3 linked regions of the Drosophila melanogaster genome follow. The protein of the gene in region 1 interacts with the protein of each later gene in a biochemical or structural test. Each region holds a gene or a part of one and is shown in the gene's direction. Other genes may lie near its edges.

Region 1 (6,541 bases):
GCATAAGAAAGATAAAGCAAGATATCTTAGTTGGAAATTTTTTTTGGGATGAAGATATCACAATTTGTATGGACTTCTACGTTAAGTTAGACAGACACAAGGATTCGCGATGAGAATATCCACCCAAGGGCTCCGTTTCGCTTACCTTTGGATTGTTGGCCACGATGGGTGGCGGATGGGAGCCATCGCCGGAGTCCGGGCTCAGCTCGACGGCCTTGCTAGCAAGCAACTTGTTGCGCCAGACCTGCTTCATCTCCTGCAGCACCTGTTCGTCGACGCCCTCGTCCAGGAACGCGTCCCGCACATTTGTGATGACGTCCTCGATCACGGCATGGTACACCTTCAGCTGCGGGCGAGAGGGGATGCGGTTAATTGTGTATAATTAAATTTGAAATGCACGACAAATCTGGGCTTGTGTTGACTTAAACACTCATTATATTATCGCGGCTCAACTTCACGCTATTAGGGCCTAAACAGTTGGGGGTAAAACAATAGGGATTGCGCAAAAAATCCACGAAGCAAGTAAAGGGCAAGACGCTATAGAAGTTGAAAATGTGGCGCACAGTATGTGGTGAGCCTTTTTGAGCTCCCATTAAAATTCAGACGCAGCTGTAATGTGAATATGCAAAACGCAAATAAAGTATGTAAATTATTTGTTTGCGAAGAATGTCGCAGTGCACATATGTACATAGATACCATGCATATGCTGGTATATATATATATGTACATTGTACATATATATACACCGGTATGCCAGTTGCTTGTTTTATTAATAGTTTGTTTTGCGTTATCAGCGGACGATAAGGAAGGAGGCCCCGACTTGTAGATAATAGCACAAGCTACGCAGCGTGTATTACTGCTAAATATAACCCCCCATGGGAGTTTGAAGTACTACGCGGAAAAGCCGAAAATCGGAAAATCCAGAGGGCAAGAAACATACAAAACTGCAAGGCAACGAACGCACTAACACAGCGACATCCAGACAGACACGCACTCGCATGCACACACATCCACACCCGAGAGGTTTGCAGTTTTGGTATCTCGGATTTCAGCAGTTGTAACTATCGTTTTGTAGTAACTACCATGACCACTGGGAAAGCTTTCACTTTCCCGCGTGGGCGGCGGAAGGAGGTGAAGCTGGAGGAAATGGAGAAACTCCTTGGTAGGATGCCTTCCATATGTCGAATGCAATGGAGCCACCGCCGCTGACACAATTACCGGATCTCGGGGATCCAGCCGCACACTCACCACCGATGTCTGGCATAGCGCCATTTGGACCTTTTTCTCCGCCAGCTTGAGGCTTTTCCGTTCGCTGGTGGGGCTAATTGACGTATTTGCTGAATTATAAATGGGCGAAGCGAAGAATTAGCGATAGCGATGCGTTCGTGACGGTGTCAGCAGTGTGGCCACCTGCGGGGCACTTGAAAACGACGCATGTCCGCCAAACTGCAAGGCTCATTTGGTCATACACTAATTGCCTTTGGTATTTTTTAAGATATTTTAGTATACAAAATACTGTGCAAATTACATAAAATATGTGGAGGTTATTTAAAATCTATTTAATATTTTCATACAGCAAATACCTTTTTAATAATTACTCTGCTTTCTTTTTACTTCTGAATTTTAAACAGTGGCTCCTAAGCATCTACCACTTTTTCGAGTGTATTATTTGCTAGACATTGGCAGCGTTGCCAGACTGCTTCGCTCTGTTAAGCTGCTTTATCACTTGTTGCGCCGCTGTTAACAAGTCATCCACAGGTTTTCATCGAATCGCGTTGGGAATTTACCCAAAAGCGATTTTCGTTTCGCTGCAACAGGTTACCAGCGCCGCCAACCCCTCATCCAACGGGCACTCTTGCATCCGGAGCCGCATGAATCAGTCGCAACCGGTTGAACCGCCCGCCCATAAGTGAAAGATGAGTGGCGTCCAGACCGCCGAAGCCGAGGCGCAGGCCCAAAACCAAGCGAATGGCAACAGGACCAGGTCGCGTTCCCACTTGGACAACACAATGGCCATCCGACTGCTGCCGTTGCCCGTGCGAGCCCAGCTATGTGCCCACTTGGATGCCCTAGACGTATGGCAACAGCTGGCCACGGCCGTAAAACTCTATCCCGACCAGGTGGAGCAGATAAGCAGCCAGAAGCAGCGTGGCCGCTCAGCCTCCAATGAGTTCCTCAACATTTGGGGCGGTCAGTACAATCACACGGTGCAAACATTGTTTGCTTTGTTCAAAAAGTGAGTCAGTTTGAGATAATAACCGCCGAGATCCCAGAAATGACTCCTCTTACTTTAGATTGAAGCTTCATAACGCCATGCGTCTGATCAAAGATTACGTTAGCGAGGATCTGCACAAGTACATACCGAGGAGCGTGCCCACCATCAGCGAGCTGCGCGCTGCTCCCGATTCCAGTGCCAAAGTAAACAACGGCCCGCCGTTTCCCTCCTCCTCGGGCGTCAGCAACTCAAACAACAATCGCACCAGCACAACGGCAACGGAGGAGATACCCAGCCTGGAGTCCCTGGGCAATATACACATTAGCACCGTACAGCGGGCAGCCGAATCCTTGCTGGAGATCGATTATGCGGAGCTAGAAAACGCCACGGACGGCTGGAGTCCGGATAATCGACTGGGACAGGGCGGATTCGGAGACGTGTACCGCGGCAAATGGAAGCAACTGGACGTGGCCATCAAGGTGATGAACTACCGCAGTCCCAACATCGACCAGAAAATGGTGGAGCTGCAGCAGAGCTACAACGAACTCAAGTATTTAAACAGCATCCGGCACGACAATATCCTGGCCCTCTACGGATACAGCATCAAAGGTGGTAAGCCGTGCCTCGTCTACCAGCTGATGAAGGGCGGCTCCCTGGAGGCTCGTTTACGAGCGCATAAGGCACAAAACCCACTACCAGCACTCACCTGGCAGCAGCGGTTTAGCATCAGCCTCGGCACGGCTAGGTGGGATTTATCGTTTCTTTAGTGCTATCAATCTTCTTTAACTTTTCATTTCGTTTCCAAAAGAGGCATCTACTTTCTGCACACGGCGCGAGGCACACCGCTGATTCATGGAGATATTAAGCCGGCCAACATCCTGCTGGACCAATGTCTGCAGCCAAAAATCGGAGACTTCGGTCTGGTGCGCGAGGGTCCCAAGTCCTTGGACGCTGTGGTGGAAGTGAATAAAGTTTTCGGCACTAAGATCTACCTGCCACCGGAGTTCCGCAACTTCAGACAACTCAGCACGGGCGTGGACGTCTACAGCTTCGGCATTGTGCTGTTGGAGGTGTTCACGGGTCGTCAGGTGACGGATCGCGTGCCGGAAAACGAGACGAAGAAGAATTTGCTGGACTACGTTAAGCAGCAGTGGCGGCAAAACCGGATGGAGCTGCTAGAGAAGCACTTAGCAGCACCGATGGGCAAGGAGCTGGACATGTGCATGTGCGCCATCGAGGCGGGCTTGCACTGTACTGCCCTGGATCCGCAGGATCGCCCATCCATGAACGCGGTGCTCAAGCGTTTCGAACCGTTTGTTACCGACTAGATGGGCCTTATTATGTTACCATTTTATTGACGAACTTGAAAAGCTCGAAGGACCATTTGTAAACCATTTCCACATTTTGTGATCAATCGCAATATATATTTTTAACTTTAACATTCCAACGAAAATTTCCCTAAAGACTTATTGTTATGCTTAAATTGTAAATGCTTACCCTATTGTTTATTAAATATTTTTGTACACTTAGTTGTTAGTGGTATGTTTGATGTTCGGAGAAACTAAATTTATGATATGCCCCAAATCGATGATTTAAAACTCAAACGACTCAAGCGACGTGGCCAGTGGAGCTACGTTTTGATTTTAGCGTCATTTCGGTTATAATTATTTTCATTTTCACAACACAATCATCGCAAAATAATATTGTTTTTATTCGTGACGCAGAATTCCGGCTCTAACCATTGACACGAATCAATTTTATAGATATAGCTTTTAGCACGTGAAAAATTTTCAATTTTTAATCAAGGACGACCAGCGGACGAGACAATGAATTTAAAAAATTCCAAGTTTTTCAAGAGGATTCAGGAGCTGCGCCACTTCTCCAAGGAGAAAATACGGAAGGATCGCGAAAAGAGGACCCACGTTGTTCGCGCCCTGGACATGGCTCTTAATGAGCAGCCGTGCTTGGACCGGGAATGGTTCAGTCCGGAGCAATCACCGCCACTGCAGCCCATGTCCCCACGCCGCCGGATGAAGAAGACCCGGTGCCTCAAGAGGAGGACAGCCGCCGACAAGCAAGTGGATGATAACTCCCCATATTACGGACCATCTTCTGGTGAAAACAGCCCAATGCCTGCTGAGGAAGCCAAGCTGCAGGGATTCATTCAACTGAACAACAAGACCTACCGAGTGGAATGCCCCACTCGGGTGCTCAATCCTCCCATGAACGTCGACGAGGAGCGGCCAGCCAGGTGATCTTCCTTAGCTTTGGATCCTTATTGGATAACGCATCTAACATAATCCCCCAGCGAAACCAAGAGTACCATCTGCGTGTCCAACTCGCGCTACGCCATGATTGGGAAGATCTCCAAGACGCTGGGCTACAAGTTGGTTAAGGAGTCCAAGATGTGGAACATCCTCTGGTCGGATTCGTTTCCCGGCGTAGAGCTGTTCAAGAACATGAAGCGCTTCCAGCAGATCAATCACTTTCCGGGCATGATCGAGATCTGTCGCAAGGATCTGCTCTCGCGGAATCTAAATCGAATGCTAAAGATCTTTCCACAGGACTACAAGATCTTTCCCAAGACCTGGATGCTGCCGGCGGAGTAAGTAAACCCCAGCCTCACACTGAAAGTGCTAATCATTGATACCAACGATTTCAGCTATGGAGATGCCATGAACTACGCGCTCAACCACAAACGCACGTTCATCCTGAAACCGGATTCTGGTGCCCAGGGTCGTGGCATCTGGCTGACAAACGACCTGAAGACCATAGGTCCACATGAGCGCCTCATCTGCCAGACGTACATACACAGGGTAATGTATCCGCTGTTCATCCGGAATCCCATACGCTGGCTAACCATCGCATCCACTTTTCCAGCCCCTGCTCATCGATGGGTACAAGTTCGATCTGCGTGTGTACACCTTGATTACCTCCGTGGATCCCCTGCGCATCTTCGTGTACAACGAGGGATTGGCCAGATTTGCTACGAACAAGTACGTGGAGCCCACGCCCGGAAACGCCAACGATCTGTACATGCACCTGACCAACTACTCGGTGAACAAGCGGAACTCGCACTACGAACTCTGCGACAACGATGACTGCGGCAGTAAGAGGAAGCTGAGCGCAATCAACAACTGGATGCGGCGACACAACTACGATGTGGAGGAGTTCTGGAGCAATGTGGACGACGTGATCATCAAGACGGTGCTGAGTGCGTGGCCAGTGTTGAAGCACAACTACCATGCCTGCTTTCCGGGTCACGACAAGATCCAGGCCTGTTTCGAGATCCTCGGCTTCGACATCCTGGTGGACTGGAAGCTAAAGCCGTACATCCTCGAGGTGAACCACTCGCCCAGCTTCCATACCAACGAGCAGGTGGACAGGGAGGTAAAGCGGCCGCTGATCCGGGACACCTTGAACTTGGTCAGCACGGTGCTGGCGGACAAGAGGCAGATTCTCAAGGAGGATCGCAAGCGGGTCAAGCAGCGGCTGCTCAAGATCAGGGGAGACCCGTAAGTGTCTCATCATCATGTCAGCATCATCATCATTGGTAACCCACATATATATTTCCAGACCCGTACAACGTCCGCGTCTTGGTGGCGGCACCTCCAAGCCCAAAATCGATGCCCAGAAGGGCAGTCCGGATGCCCAACCCGTTGATGTTGAACCCGAAGCTGAGGACCATGGTCCACTGGCCCAGCAAATCGCCTGGGAGGAGAGTCATTTGGGCAATTTCAGGAAGATAATGCCGCCACCAGACTTGAGCAAGCTGGACTACTACACTCGCTTCTATGCCCAGTCGCACCAGGTGTCCATCTTTGCGGAGACGGCGGCCAGTAAAAAGCGAGAGGATCTCGCGCGCAAGATGCGCATCCAGCTCGAGGAGAAGAAGGCCAAGCAGCAGCAGATGCTGAACGGGAAGGCCAAGCGGGATGCTAGGAAACGACACACCGTATTGCTGCCGCGGGCTGTGCGCGAGAAGAACCGTATTAACTTCTTCCGGCTGAGGGAGAACTGGTCGCCGGGCTTCATATCGGACGCGGAGGAGCGACTGCGCCACACCTGGCTGCACATGCGGGCGGAGGCGATACGAACGCTCAAGATCACCGAGAATGTAAGTCGGTTCACTTCCAAAAAAAAAGATACATTTATATTTAAAGGAGATATTCGTCCACAGATCTACAGCAATCTCTACGAAACTGGACTCCTGACCAACACGGACATGGTCGTCTATCCGCATCTCTATCACAACTTGCAGCACGGCTACGACATCAAACGTACTCCATAGTCAGTCATTTCGCCCAACTCCAGCCACACAGACTA
Region 2 (7,095 bases), on another chromosome or scaffold:
GTGATGCGGTTTACCCTGTACTTAGTGTACGAACCAGCATAGCCCATGATGTGCGCGCCCAGACTGTGGCCAATCAGATGGATCCTATTCGGATCCGCATCCTTCTCCTCCACCAGCAGATCAATTAGCTTGGCCACCGCCCGTCCCACCTGAACCGTATATCGCGCCGGTGTTAGATAGTATATATTATCCGCCTGATCCTTCCAGTTGATGGCGAACACGTTCACCTGGCCACGTTCGATATAGGCACCACGAATCGATTGAATCGAATTGCTCATGGTGCTGGACTTCCAGCCGTGAACGAGTATCTTGGTGTCCAGTTCCGGATTGAATTTCTCCGCCATCTCCTGCCAGGTGTCTCGCTTGTGGCGCTGCGGAAACTCAAAGTTATTCTCATCTATCCAGAAATCAGCACTGGAACTGGAGTCGCTGGAATAAAAGGATTCAAATTGTGACCACTACGAAAGATAACTCTTCAAATCAAATAAAAAAAAACCACACACCTTCCGTACAGCTCGAACTTGATGAGCTGTGGCAGATTGATGCGGTTTTCGGGCGGAGGTTCCACCAGATAGGCCACCTCAGGCTTACCCTGTCCATTGGGCATGTAGATCCAGGTTTTGTTGTAATCCTCCTGATTTAGAGCCACCTCACCACGAATGCCAACTAAAATGGAGCAGAAACTTATGCTTAGAAGGATGGCTAAATCGAATTGAAAACATTTTACAAAGCAGCAGCACGGGTCGCACCACTTGGGCGAGGGCAGCGAATCCGGTGATGAGCCACTGCACCACCACAAATGTGGTGGACACCTCGTTGCGACACGGATTGATCACATTACAGATGCAGGCCAGCGCATTCGAGGACATCTTGACCAGCTAAACGTCGATCTTGAACTGATCGGACGCCGGATTCCAAAGATCGGAGCTCCCAGCTCCCAGTTTCCCAGCTTCCCAGATCCAAGCTCATTAAGGCGGCTGACGCATTAGTAATCCTCGAAACCGGTTCCAGCCCAGCAATTAATTTGTGGCCTGGAGCGTTTTAATTACTCAGCATCAGTGTGCGCGCGAATCTCGGTCAGGTGAGACAAAGCCACATATGTATATCCGTTTCCCCGTAACTCCCAACTCACCCATCCAACAACTAAGGGCCAGGCCACAAAGCCAGCAAAGCGCTAACATCTCTGTACCAAAGTCGACGTCACTGTGCCACGGGAATCGGGTGTGTGGATTTTATAGCGTACGATAAGCTAGACGAGGGCCAGGTGTCAATCAAGACTGGAGTTTTGGACGGACTGCTGGCCAGGTTGAAGCCTCGGTCGGAAGGGTCTCGGCGTTATCATTCCAACTCAGTTGGGCGTCCCAAGCGCGGCGCTGTTAAATTGGGTTAAGCCCAGTTCATCGGTGCATACTAATCTAAGGTGCGTTGCCCCGGTATTGAAAAGTGGAACAATATAAATATTTGAAAATATGTTCGGTAATTTAGTTAAATAAGTTACAATAACAATTACATTTTTATAAGTGTTTTTATGAAAAATGCTACATCTTATGTACACATAGATTAAATATTATTTAGATTTTCAGCGATGGCTATGTAAATTTTTCACAAATGCAATACTTTAATGCACTAACATTATAACAAATTTCAAATTTATAGAAAACTTTAAGTATTCAAAATCTAAAACGGTCATGTAAAATACCATACATCAAACCATGTAAGCATACATCTTACATGTAAAATATTGCTGGCATTTGACCTAAGTAGATTAAGTAGATTACAAAAATATGTAATCCGCAATTTCAAAGAAACATTTTTGAGTGCATCTTATAAAACTCTATTTTTTGCCAATGCTATGTAAAAGAATAATTAAACTTTGTTAATTGTTGGGTGCGCAAATGAGTAAAGCCAGAATTACGTGGCCTATTACATTGCCTAATTTTGTTTAGTATATCTAGATGTGTTGTTGCATTTTCGAAAATATCACTTGCTGCCACACTGGCTGTGCGTCATTTTCAGAAACGCCGCGAATATTTTGCCATTGAAATCTAGCTAAGCATTGGAATTTCGCAACGTGCAGCAGCAAAGCAAACTACAAACATGTCGGGCACATCGCAGAAACACAGGAACTTCGTTGCGGAGCCAATGGGCAACAAGTCGGTGACGGAACTGGCCGGAATTGGGGAAACCCTCGGTGGACGCTTGAAGGACGCTGGATTCGATATGGTGCGTGTGTAAATACGATGACGCCATGTGCGCAAATAAACAATGCCAGTCAAGTGCTAACGATCATTTCCATTCGTTTTAGGCCTACACCGTTTTGGGACAGTATCTGGTGCTGAAAAAGGACGAGGAGCTGTTCAAGGACTGGATGAAGGAGGTGTGCCACGCCAGCTCCAAACAGGCATCCGATTGCTACAACTGTCTCAACGATTGGTGCGAGGAGTTCTTGTAAGAGGTGGACACACAAGCCATCCGAGTAATTCGATCAAAAGGAATCTGCTAAAGGCATCGGCCAATCATTTTTATTCGCAGTCAACGAAAGTGGCCCAATGCTAGCTAAGCATTTGCCGTGTTCACTGTTAGTATGTATAGCTGTAGGGTGTAATTTAATGTCTAATCCGAATAAATGTACAGTCATGGAAACGATCCTGCATTTGGATCTCTGTTCTGCGAAAAGTACAGTAGGTGTAAAACATTTGTTGCTGGCCGGCGAAGCAGCCTAATGCAGATTTTTATTAATTTGATTAGGGGACAACAATAAGCAACACTATAGAAGGCAGATCGGTTGGCGACTATATCTTCTCTATGTTTTCGATTGTTGGCGAGTAGGAGTCTCTGACTCGCTGAAATAAGCCTCTGTCTTTTTGATGTTTCTTTATCAGCGGGCTGATGTCGCCTAATTTTGAAATCTATTTCTTTTTGTTTTTCGGAAATGATCTTTTATAATGATGGACTTAGAACCTTTTAAATCCCAATCGCTGTTTTGTTTGGGGATTATGTGTAAGCGGTTAATATATATTTTATAATGAAACCCCTTTTGTCAAAATTAATTGTCCTCGAGTAATTAATTAGTACCGAGTATTTGATTATAAATACAACTTTTTTTAAATAAAAATATATATTTTTAAAAACTTATTTTTAAAGTGAGTGGTATTAAATAGGATTTCTTTTCCCTGAAGTGGTATCATATGGTATTTATTTTTGGTCCCGTGGTATTTTTTATCGTTATCGGCGCGGTCACGCTGCTAAGAATTACATTACGCGTGAATACCAATGAAAATTAAGAGAGAAATTGCAAAACACAGCCAAGCGGTGCAATAAATCGCAAAGTAAGAGGCGCAAAACGCGCAAATACCGTTTGCGCGGTTAAAAAATGCAAAAACACCAAACGATAGATTAAACAAAGTGAAATTAACTCGGCTTTGGCATATGCGAACACCAGTGTGCCAGTGTGTGTGTGTTTTTCTTTGTATATAGACTCGCAGAGCGAGACGGCCATACACGACGGCAGACGGGACGGTGCAGGTGCGCGAGTGCGAGCGGGAAAAAGGCTGTGCGGTCACTGCTACTCTGTGTGTTATTTCAGAGTTACAGGCCAAACATTCTGATGTGCGGCCGAATCAAATCGACTTTTTGTGTGCATCGCCCCAGCGTTCGTCTTAATTAATTAGTGATTGCAAGCGGGTGCAATTATGCACAAAATTACGGACTAATACAACTGCCCGCTTCGCGCTCTCTCCATCTCCCTTCCAAATAGTCGTTTGCTCTTCGCACACAAAAGTGTAAACCCTGTGAAAGGTAGCAACAACGTTTCCTTGGAAAAAGCTGTAAATAGTAAACAAAATTGTCAAGTTAACGAGCCAAAGTTATTAAATAAGGTTCGAGTACGTTGGCATCGGCTGCCCAGGCAGCAAAGAAAAACAAAGACGCAGTTCAAGATTCAGCTGGACACTTAGAAGAGTTTAAGAATTGAAGCACAAAAAAACGAAGAGAAACAAGAACCCCACCAAAAACCCCGCCGTGCGTTTGTATGTGTGTGTGCCATTCAAATTTCCCTGCAGCTGGGTGAGTGTGCGTGTGTGTGTGTGTGTCAGTTTAATTTTCCTACCAATAATCGCCTTTCCAAGACGTGATTACCAGCCGATCCACCGCTTAAATTGATAAACGTTTTAACTCTTGCGTTACATCAGCTGTTTTACGGCTTTTTGTGCTATAAGTTACGCTTTTCCCGTAAGCCGTTGGCAACACTAGAACGCAAAAGAGAGAATCGCGAGTACCGTAAAGAGGAAGAGAGAGAGATAGAGAGTGTGAGCGTGTGAGAGAGCGGGGAATGTGGGGGCGGTTCCGGTGCGAGAAAACGTAGTGTAGTACATAAAGAGAGTGCGAACGAGAGGGAGGCAGCCAGCGAGTGTCCTGCGACTGCTCCCCCCTTTACCCTCGTCGCCCTTCTATTCGGAAAATTCAATGACCTCATTTGTTTCATGTGCCGAACTTTGCTTTTCTTTCCCAACCTAAAAACGCAAAAAAAAAAAAACGTAACACCAAACAGGATATAGCGTAGGACCAGTGAACAAACAAGTCCGAGAGAGCGACAAACAAAGGACCGTGCACTGGGCACCTGAAGGCAGACAGCTGGCAACGAATCAGGAGAGGATCAGGAGAGCAGGATCAGCGGGCACAAGGATCACCGGAGCAGGCAAAGGAAACACCTGGCACACAGCACAGCCACTGAGAGCGACGTGAACCAATGGGCACCAATTCGGGAGCCACCGCTGGCATAAACAACAAGCCGGTTGGCGGTGCAACAGGAGCCGGCGTCCTTGTAGGCGGCGGTGTGGGCGGTGCCAATTCCTCGATCGGCGGTGTCCTGTCGAACAGCCTGGGCGGTGGCGGCAGCGGCGGTCTGAGCATCAGCGGCCTCAACGCTGGTGGACAGAACGCCAATGTGGGCGGAATGGGCAACGTTGGCGGCGACGACGGCGGAAACGGGATGGTGGGCGGCGGTGTAAATAACCAGCAGGCCACAACGCCCCAATACACAATACCGGGCATCTTGCACTTCATCCAGCACGAGTGGTCGCGCTTCGAGCTGGAGCGATCACAGTGGGACGTGGACAGGGCCGAATTGCAGGTGAGTGATCCTTAAATACTGAATTGCTAATAGCTCCTCTTTAATATTCGATTAATCTCGTACTTTGAGATAGGTGAATCAGAAAATCAGCTTAAGATCTTAACAATGTCCTTATTATTAGTTTGAACATTGATTTAGTTCTCATCCTCCACTATTTTATTCACTATTGATTAAGTAGGTACTGGACTCACGGACTACAGTAAACTTTATAGCGTGAACTTTGTGCAGATAGTGACAGTATAGTGCTTAGTATAAAAGAACCAATGAAACTGCAAATTGTTTGTCCTAGAAAGAATACTATGCAACCAAAAGCAAGGCAATTTGGCAAGGCCCAGGGAGTGCTTAAAAGGTCCTTGCTTATCGACAGCGGTGGCTCACTTTCCATTTCAATGATTTTCCGAGGCGCTAATGCATGAACATGCAAGGAAAACGGCCAGGAGGAGCCACCACACCGCCTTGCCTCCGCCATGTCCGCATGCAAGCGAATCGAGTTGAGCAATTGCCGTCATCGAGTGTTTATGCTCTGTTTGTCGCAGACGAATGGCCAAAAAGCCTGAAAGCCCCCAAAAAATGTAAAATGAGTGTAACCGCGGGTTGGATAACATTATCGTAATTTCGAAGGAGATTACTCCACCTCCAACCTGCGCCACCCTGCGCCTCCATGGCCATCGTCAATGTCAATGTCGACCCACGCTCTATCGCTTTCACCTGCCAAGTGGCCAGATAACGAGCGGTATCGATAACGAGGCACAGTCCGTTACGCTCTGAATGCAACGTGACATTCAAATCCGTCTCTTCCCCTGCTTTGCATCATCATAATGTGGAAAAGTGGCCACAAAAAAAAAGGAACCAAGTTGACAACGCAAATTTGTCGCCGCGATTTATGAACCTGTTCGCCTTGTTTGGCGTTTTTGGCCAAAATAAATCTGGTTCGGGTGGGCAGCAGAGGCAGAGGCGACGCCATCCGAGATGGCTCTGTTTCAGCAGTCGTAGCATCCGTTCCCTGCCCGGCCGCCTGGATCTATTTATATACTTCCATATGCACATCGCAAATCTCTTTGTGTGTCAGTGCCGACTGCTGTGAATGCAGCAACGTCCTTGTCGCAACGAATCTCAGTTTTGCCGGTCTTCCCATGAATGCATCCACTTCCACTTCCTACTCGGTCGGCTTTTCCTACTGTCGCGTTTGTCAGGCAATTAACTTGCACTGTGGTCGGAAACTCTTTATTTAAAGAACATTTACGTTTCTATGTTGAATTTCAATCAGATATGAGGTAACAAAAACAAAAAAGCGAACATTTAGGTTCATCTTATACTATCATTTATAACTCTTTAATGTTTAATGGCATATTTACCTTTAAATTATTATCAAATTCTTGAGAAATGATTATTTGTGCTTCGAAAGCACTGTAAGCAAGAATGACGCGGCAAATGCTAATATATTTTCAATCATTTCGCCATTGCAAAAGCATTTGTTTGCAAATGCATTTACAGATTAGAGAAACCAAACGCCGCTGGCGCTCTTGTCATATTAATAATTCTATTTATATGTCCTTGTGTACAATATGGTCACTTCCCCAACAGCATTATGCAATGGACAATTCCAAGAGCAGCCACGTAACCCCTTTGGTTAGCCAGCATTTTTCAAAAATTGTAAAGCGAAAAATCTTGGAGCTTCTCCGCTCGGGCTCATTAAGTTACAAATGCGCATTTGTCATGGAATTCGTAATTTCTAATTGCGAATGAAAATAAAAAGTAGTTGCATGTCGCGGAGCGATTTGTGTAGCAGCTCCATAAGGCGTTGGCGTGTGTGTTTTGTTACCTTTCTGGCCCTTTTGCCTTCGAATATCCGGAATATTAGCGCGCTGCTTTTAATTAGCCAGCTTAAGGAGCCAAATGAAATGCCATTGGGCGATAATTTAAATGCACAACATGTTTCCATTAACAGCAACAGCACAAAGAGT
Region 3 (8,900 bases), on another chromosome or scaffold:
CATTTTCTATTACCCCGACTCACTCGACTTAAGTGCATAGTGTGTTGTACTGTGCACTAAGTCCCTAGTAAGAAAACAAATTGTATTTTCCCAGTTGTTTGCAATCCCGCCCCCTTCGCACCCAAAAATGGCCCACATTGCGTATACGCAACGTTGCACATTTCGGTGAGGAGTCTAGACCGAATGCAAGGATGCCTTACAATCCGCTCGTACTGACAAGTAACAAAACTGTATTGATTTGTTGCTAATAGTTGATCCTGATTCCCATTCTTATTCTATTTCATTTATTCGATTTTTTTCTGCGGATGGGTTTTGATTTGATTTTCGAAGTACACACTGGCACAGAGCTACTGACACACAAAAGCCACTCATCTGCGGAATGGCAGAGGAAAATGTATTTGCGGTTGGCGAACTGCATGGGAAGCACAATTTTGGATGTTTATGCTGCTGCTGTTCGCTTATTTATCGAGAGAGCTTAGCTGTTGTCGGGGTTCTGTGTGCATTTTGATTTAATTTGGAATGCGCTACTCAAAATGCAGTTCCGTTTTGGCATGCAATTTGCCAAATGTCAAATAGGTTTGGGCCAATCTCAGCTGCATGGCTGCCAACACAATGGAAATGGCTGACATTTGACTGAGGATTTGGAATCCTGTTTCTGGCATCACCACCGACACACTATGCGTGTGTGTGGATATGACGTTAATTTGGTGTTGACTCTTAGAAAATGTGACCCTTTGAATCATGATTCAGTTCAACTCTGATTGATGTGACTTTTTAGCACGTCCCCTCATTACAAAACAAGGCAGTACAAGTCCTGCCTTTAGTTTTTGGGCCCCAAAAAGTCAAAAGTCAAGCGCCCTTTGTTTTCCACTGGCATTCACCAGCAGCCAGATTGCTCTTCCACCGAAGGCCAGATGGAAAGATGCACTTGGATAGATAACCCTCATAATCGGATAATTGGATTTTATTTGATCGCTTTGGGGTGAATAATGTTTCAGTTCATTTTTAGCTGAACAAATACATAATATCGGATTTAATGTTTTTAATTGGCTATTAATTACTATTTTGAAATGTGTTTATTTCCAATCATTAAAAATTAAAAATAATAATTTAATTAATATATGTGCATTTGTAAAAATTATATTTTAATTATTTTGCTGAAAGTACATATAGATTACGGTGCAAATAAAATGTTAAATATCCTATCCATCAAAATCGTTTTAGCATGTTTTCCACACCAACTAAAGTTAAACCAGTTAACTAAATGCAAAGTCACAGCCTCCGAAGAGCTAAAAGCCCAACATTTACAACAATTCGTTAGAGCACCTACTTCCATCATCACCAGCTCATAAAAACAGAATGTGCGTTAGCCTGTGTAGGTGCACCACTCTGCCTATGCGTTTTGCGGACCACAGTGCGTATGCGTAATACGAAGACGAGTGGCGTGGGAAGTCCTTTGCCATCGTTTGGCTGCCGCTTGTGTAATTGGGCGTGTAATTGTGTTTGCCTTTTCACATTTAGTCGGGCCCAAAAAAGGTCACTTTTGATGTGTGTCCTGTGGCGATGCTGCACTGCATGAGTTGAGCGGGCTCACCCAATTAAAATGTCGCTCAAAACTTTTGCCCCAATGTCCCTGGCGGGAGTGAAAAACTGTTAATTGAGTTTCTGTCCGCCAACGCGAAATGAATTATGAGCAACTTATAATGAAGACGGCTCAACTTGAGCGCAGCAACTTTTGGCAACTCGACAATGGGCCAAAGTCCATAATGACGGGCTGTCCTTGGCGCGTTCAAGGCCACATCCTTCGACGCAGCGATTTAAGTGATTGACTTGGCCCAGCACGGCCCTTATTTATTTTTGAGCGTCTGTCCCATTCTCCAGATGTCGAGGCTCGATAAGCTCCGGCGTGGCATGCCACACACCTGTCAGGATGTGTCCGGATATGTTCCATGCGTGACAGTTCAGGGCGCGGCTTAGGGCGAAATATTGGCTCCTCTCATCGAATATTCATGGCGAGCACCTTTTTTAATGGATGAAAAACAGTTTAATTCCCATGAGTTATTTATTTTCCTGTTAAATCCCCTCGACCAATATCCTGAATCAAGGATATTAACGGGTTACGAGTCTAAGAGTACACATTCCACTAACTGATTAGTGTGGGAAATAAAAAGTTAGAGAGCCCAAAATTATGCCACTAAGATTGAATACGGCCTGTGTGACTACCAAATTATTTTGTGTTCGCTGACTCACGACGGCTGTTTTCTGTGAACGTGCAAGCACTTGAAAGTTACCGCTCAAAGATGTCACTACGAAATACAAAAAATATATAAACACTTCTTATCGGCGTCTACGAAATGCAAAAACAAGGAACATGAGCGAGCCATTAACATTATGACATTTGGGCATAAATAAATTCCGCAAGATAGCCAAAAGTAGGGTATTAAAAACACGTTATCTTTAAATTTATGTGTCTTGGAAATTAAGATGAATGTCGAATTAGTTGTATTCAAATCATTCATTTGGTGCCAAATACCCCCGATTATAAGCAGACGGATAGTGATAGTAAGTAATTTTAAGGAAATTTACTGACATTTTGTTTGGTTATTTTTTAAACTAACTGAGTTCATGGCTGACAAATTGATAGAACAACGTATGGAAAACTACCTGCGTTCTTTGACCGAACCATATTACAATGGTCTTGAACTTTGCGACCCATCATTAAGATACCATCAAGGGTGAAAATGGTCGAGTGATTGCCTTCTGCCATCTCTATTTTGATGAAGGCGCCTCGCTTTTCGGCCATGTCAATGGGTCTCTCGACTGCGATAGGGGCCGTGATAAGAAAGCACAGATAAAAAAAATAAAAAATAGAAAACCGTCTGCAGACCAATTGGCTTGGCCTGATAAGCGAGTTGGCTGATTGGCAGGGACCCCAAACAGCTGTGATTTAGTCATAGCCGAACATTCGCCGTGTCCACATAACCACGTCGCAATTGCTGCTCGTCGCGGAAACCAGAAATTCAAATAATCATAAATATTAAATGCCAAGAAACGGCCAAGTGAAGTGAAGAGCGAAATGTTAACCTATTTGCCGGTAGTGTGGCTCTTTTTTGCCCTTCTGGTGCTTCGTTCTGCCACGGGACAGATCATACCACTGCCCACCTTTTGTTTGGGTCTTAGTCCGCAGTGCACTTGTGCCGCCGAGGGGAATGTGGTGCGTTTCCATTGTCCGGATGAGTACGCCATGCTGCTGGAGGTTTCCGAACCGGGCGCATCGTTGTACATGAGCTATTATGCCTCCACCGAATTGCAGTGGCTGCCGCGCTTCAATATCAGTTCGCTTGTGAAGATCGAGTTCGATGCGTACATCTTCTGGCCGGAGAAGTTCCTTAGCGACTTACTCAAGACCTTGGGTGTTCAGACTGTGAAGACGATTATTTTCCGTGATCGAACTTTGGAAACGGTAGTCACACGCGACGTTCTGAACTCGGGCAATGGATATATGGAAACTTCGCAGCCCGAAAACATTACCACCTGGCACTTTGGTTCAGTTCCGGGCCTGAAGAAGTTCAAGTTCTTCAGCCACGTGCCGGAGCTGCAGGAGTCCATATTCCACGGTTTCGACACCCTGAGGGATCTGCATCTCAGCGTGAACGTGACGACGTTGCCGGGAAATATGCTGTCCACGGTGAATGGAACTCTGAAAACGTTGACCATCGAGAGTCCGGGTATAGTGTCATTCGGGAATCCATTGCTCCGCGAACTGCAGCAACTGCGCAACTTGAGTCTCGCGCTCATACATCCGTTTCATGAGCGCGACAAGCAATTGCAACCGCACTTCTTCGGTTCCATGACTAATCTGGAGGAGGTGCGGCTGGCGTCCGCCACAAGTAGTGTGAATCGCTCGATGTTCAAGGGCACCAACAAGTTGCAGCTGATCAAGATGAATGGCAACGACGATCTCATGGAGCTTCCGGGTGAAATTTTCCTGGACCAGGTCAATCTAAAGACCCTGGATCTATCCTGCAATGCGATCGTCACTCTGCACGAGGATGTCTTCAAAGGCCTGGGGAATCTAACGCTGCTGGATCTATCCAAAAATAGACTGACTAACTTGTCGAGGTGGGTTGAAAGGGGGTTCTGTTTGTTGTTTTCGCCACCTGCTTGCTTGCGCTGATTAATAGATGGCCCACCTAGCGATAGGGTACGGACTGTAGAACTTGCTTCTAACCAAAGTAATTAATCGAAGGCACTCTTCTTCGCCTTATCGCTGTGGTTGCGGCTGCTGCTATTTCCCTTATCAATACCCGGGGCACGAGTAATGGCTCATCGAGAGTTCCATGTCTCCCCCTGACAGGCAAGTGGGGTTATCGGGTCCTATCGTTCAGATACTAATTGCAGTGTTATTATTGTACACAGATTGGCGCCAAAAAGTATGCCAAACATTATTAATTGATTGATCCTTATCTGGCTGTAGTAATTCGTGCTCAAATCAGACAAAATATTTCGTATTTGTTACGCCACAAGTACTACTATGTATATCTAAACAATTCATTATGAAAAGTCATATGAAACGTAAGACGTATTTTATTTTTTTTGTATAGTTCTTGTCTATGGCAATCTTATTGTCGTTTGATAAGATGTGGTCGAATAGAAATTAATTAGATATTTTTGTGGCTGATAGATTTTAATTATAGAAAAAAAGGTTAAGCTTTTTACCGATCTTAAAAAATGGCATTGAACAATGTTCTTAATACTATTGAGATTTACAATCAATCTGCGCGAAACAAAACTTTTTATACTGATTTTCTAGAAACCTAAGCATTATCATGTTGATTTGCAGAATTTATTTGTAGTCCCCATTTTGAATTAGCAATACCATAGAAGTTTTTTTTTATTAATTTAATAAAAGTAGCAAATTGGTTTTTAGATGTCGCAGACATAAGCATTATGCTTAACATAATGCCTACTAATCCCCTCATAAATGTTTTTAAAGGCTTCACCACTTATAAAATACTGTTTATAAATCATTTTTATATTGTTAAATAAATATGTAAGTAACATGTAAAAATTATAAATAAGCTAGTTAAAATAGCTTTACCATTTTCGATAGCTTATTTAAAAGAATCAATGTTATTGTATAGCATTAGGTCACTAGTTTTGGGATGTAGATAACGATAGCCCCACTTGGAACTCGGTACTTCCTGATTAATGTCAATCTAATCCCTCTGAGATCTCCTCCTCCTGCAGCACAATTTTCGCACCATTGACTTCGCTGAACGTTTTGCGTCTGAACAAGAACTCGCTGACCGCGATGTCGCCGAGTGTGTTCCAAGATGTGGTCAGTCTGAACTACATCGAGATGGTGAACACCCAGTTCTATGGGGCCACGCTCCTGATGAACTACGAGGCTGTGGTGTGCACCAATGACGAGGCGTGCCAGTACAAGTCGGCGGAGTGGCAGTGCGATCCCCGATGCATCTGCTGGGTGCAGCGGAGTGTAGGTAGTCTGATCGTGGATTGCCGCGGAACGAGTCTCGAGGAACTTCCGGATTTGCCCCGCACCACGTTACTGAGCACGGTGCTCAAGGTGGGCAACAATAGCCTCACCAGTCTACCCACTGTGAGCGAACACAGTGGTTATGCCAATGTGAGTGGACTCTTTCTGTCGGACAATAACCTGACCAGCCTTGGAAGCGGTGACCAGCTGCCCGATAATCTCACCCACCTGGATGTGCGAGGCAATCAGATTCAGTCACTCAGCGATGAGTTCCTATTGTTTCTTCAGGAGCCGAACAACACTATGACGCTATCGTTGTCGGGAAACCCCATCACCTGTGGCTGCGAATCCTTGTCGCTTCTCTTCTTTGTGCGGACCAATCCGCAGCGGGTACGGGACATCGCCGATATTGTGTGCACCAAGCAGAAAAAGTCCTTCCAGCAGATGGAGGCCTTTGAGCTGTGTCCATCGTATGTCCTACTCATCAGCTGTGTGGTCGGTGGCCTGGTGATCGTCATCTGTCTGCTCACCGTGTTCTACCTAATGTTCCAGCAGGAGCTGAAGATTTGGCTGTACAACAACAATCTTTGCCTGTGGTGGGTCTCCGAGGAGGAACTGGACAAGGACAAGACCTACGATGCCTTCATCTCGTACTCGCACAAAGATGAGGAGCTGATCAGCAAGCTCTTGCCCAAACTAGAGAGTGGTCCGCATCCCTTCCGGCTGTGTCTGCACGATCGGGACTGGCTGGTGGGCGACTGTATTCCGGAGCAAATCGTTCGCACCGTAGACGACTCGAAGCGGGTGATTATTGTACTGTCGCAGCACTTCATCGATTCGGTGTGGGCCCGCATGGAGTTCCGGATCGCCTATCAGGCCACATTGCAGGACAAACGGAAGCGAATCATCATAATCCTCTACCGGGAACTGGAGCACATGAACGGCATCGATAGCGAACTGCGAGCCTATCTCAAGCTGAACACCTACCTCAAGTGGGGTGATCCGCTCTTCTGGAGCAAGTTGTACTACGCGATGCCGCATAATCGCAGGGTTCTGAAGGGCCAAAAGAAGCATGCGGGGCCGCTAATCTGAGGCTTGAATAAAATGTAAGATATTTTAGATGAATATACTCACTCGCTTTCAGTTGAGATTCTCGTAGAGATCCCCCTTGGCGAGGCAAACTTGGGCCTTAAAAGCTAATTTGCATGCCTTGCTTAAAGTTCTAAAGTTATTATGACTATTTAAAAAGTATTGATACATACATCATAAGTAATTTAATTTATTTTTAAGCAAACTAATGACCTTACGATTTTGTTTCCAATTTTCCGGAAATTATATATTTACAACGTAATTTTACAAGTAATATTTACAAATTAATAATAATGTCAATAAAATAAAAAAATATATAAAAACATATCAGCATATAGCTTCTATGACTGTTTAACCTAATTAATGCATACAAACGGGCAGTTATTCTTTCGACAAATTTGTTAATTAAATTCATCTTCATATTCAAAATTTAATAGCTTTAATTTGAATAACTAATAAATTGTCACAATAATTAACTTAGTCGTTAGCATCAACATTTGCAACATTTCATGGAACACACAAACGCTCGATTGCCATTAATCAATTAGCTCAATTAAAATGATGATTATGTGTTAATTACAGCTTCGGATGAATTTATGACACTCATTATACGAATTATTTTCCGCTAAATCTATGATAAGAAAGAATAGAAATGTGTATACAAGTTAGAAACTGCAAGATACTGAAAATAATATTATTTCCACGCCCCTCAGCTGCTTCTTAAAACAAGTAAGAATGTAAAGAATATCAAATTAATCACGTTTAAAAAGCTTTTCATTGGTGTAAATTTTTAATTCACCGAGGGACCCACAAAGTGGACAGTTTTTGAGCCCTCGTCCAAATATCCCAGCTGGCTTAGGCCTTTGGATGAGCTGGTCCTTGTTGGTGGTCCTTCCCTTTGTTTCCAACAATGTATTCGGCCTGGATTGTGTCATTTTTCGCATGAGATTTTAATTAAATTTTAAATTCCAAAACATTGGGGTGCTTTGTGTGTGCGCAGATAAAATGCCATTTGGCCTTAAATGAATTTTAACAGCTGATGTGTGCATAAATAAACATGAACTGCTGCTCTTCTGCATGACTAAAAATTAATTTTTCCAAAGCTGCACGCTTTTATTCCACATTATTATTTGCCAAAGTCACCACATCATAACCATGGGCATTCGTGGGCAATAATATTTGCAATTTATACGGGCTTAAATATTTATTCAGTCACATGCTTTAAGCAGCCCTCATAGCCTCATCTTCAAACTCTAATTATCCACTTCGGTAATTGCGCTGGCCTTCATTGCTCAGTTGAGTCGAGCACTGGAGCCCTTTCCCCAAATAGGCCGATTCAGGCCCAAAGTGGCGAGCCAAGCCAATTCCCAGCCAGATATAAGTGAAAATATATGTAATAACCAAGAGGGCAGAGAAAAACATTTGGCCAACTTGCGCTCCCTACACTGTCAGCCCTTTTTTTTTTTTGCCGCACGATTGCGTGACCTTTTGTCCACCCACCACCCACAAGCCACCATCAAAGTGGGTGGTTTGGTTGGTTCTGCAGAGCGTCTTTGAAGATTCATTGCCTGCCCGCTGGCCAACACTTTGTGGGCGAGTCGAACAAAAGAGTGAGGGTCATGGGGCAAGGGACAAAGCTAGAACACTTATTTATAACGCTTGGTCTTTAAACTTAAAAACTGAAATATTTCCACTAACCTTTTATATACAAAAGTTAAGTTTAATTATTTCTACAGTCGATAGAACTTGTATTCCCCAAATTAACATTTCAACATCAACGGCATTTTTTAAAACTCATTATTATTTAACAACTGCTCGCTGTGATAAATTACTTTTCTACAGCCAACTGAATGGCGGAAATTCAATCTTTTTGCAATTCAACATTGTGATTCGCTTTGAGCGCGGCATCCAATTCAATTTTGATTGTAAAAATGCTCAGTTGAATTATATTTCGCTTTGCCTTTGTGACCCTCCAAAAGTTTGTAAGTGATGACATTTGATTGCTGCCCCAACACATTGCAGCTGCCATTGTATAATCATCTGGGCTCATTTTTCATAAACTTACACTCGAAGTCGAAGTCCGAGTCCTGGAATCTGGGTGTGAGTAGTTATCACAAACATCTGTTTGCCACTGCCTTTCATTTATCACGAGTTTTGCGAAGAAAACTATAATAAAAGCGATGCTGCCCATTGCCAGGGCTTTTGGCTACGTGATTCAAAGGCCAAACCGCTTGCCACTTTCTTTTCGCAGTGGCTGAAATTCAAGCTGGGATTCCCTGGCGTTGAACTACTTAGAAGCCATAAAGTAAGG

The links.
Region 2: of the proteins of pll (region 1) and Cka, one has a biochemical effect on the other in vitro, tested with the Drosophila melanogaster proteins (one study listed by BioGRID).
Region 3: of the proteins of pll (region 1) and Tehao, one has a biochemical effect on the other in vitro, tested with the Drosophila melanogaster proteins (one study listed by BioGRID).

The regions. Positions count from the first base shown.
Region 1 is NT_033777.3:27,248,333-27,254,873, reverse strand, and holds pll (pelle), read left to right. Parts: upstream 1-1,691; 5' UTR 1,692-1,916; coding exon 1,917-2,236; intron 2,237-2,294; coding exon 2,295-2,960; intron 2,961-3,023; coding exon 3,024-3,543; 3' UTR 3,544-3,743; downstream 3,744-6,541. Other genes in the region: TfIIA-L (transcription factor IIA L), read right to left, coding at 146-346, 1,249-1,272; TTLL6B (tubulin tyrosine ligase-like 6B), read left to right, coding at 4,042-4,466, 4,524-4,820, 4,878-5,031, 5,096-5,730, 5,792-6,332, 6,396-6,506. UniProt on the Drosophila melanogaster protein: Plays an essential role in the Tl receptor signaling pathway that establishes embryonic dorsoventral polarity; the signal directs import of dl into ventral and ventrolateral nuclei, thereby establishing dorsoventral polarity.
Region 2 is NT_033779.5:8,027,511-8,034,605, forward strand, and holds the start of Cka (connector of kinase to AP-1), read left to right. Parts: upstream 1-3,210; 5' UTR 3,211-3,329; exon of another isoform or gene 3,330-4,065; intron 4,066-4,549; 5' UTR 4,550-4,747; coding exon 4,748-5,131; intron 5,132-7,095. Other genes in the region: CG7367 (uncharacterized protein), read right to left, coding at 1-429, 504-666, 728-869; baf (barrier to autointegration factor), read left to right, coding at 2,098-2,223, 2,306-2,452.
Region 3 is NT_033779.5:13,432,673-13,441,572, forward strand, and holds Tehao (tehao), read left to right. Parts: upstream 1-2,949; 5' UTR 2,950-3,076; coding exon 3,077-4,122; intron 4,123-5,222; exon of another isoform or gene 5,223-5,250; coding exon 5,251-6,592; 3' UTR 6,593-7,258; downstream 7,259-8,900.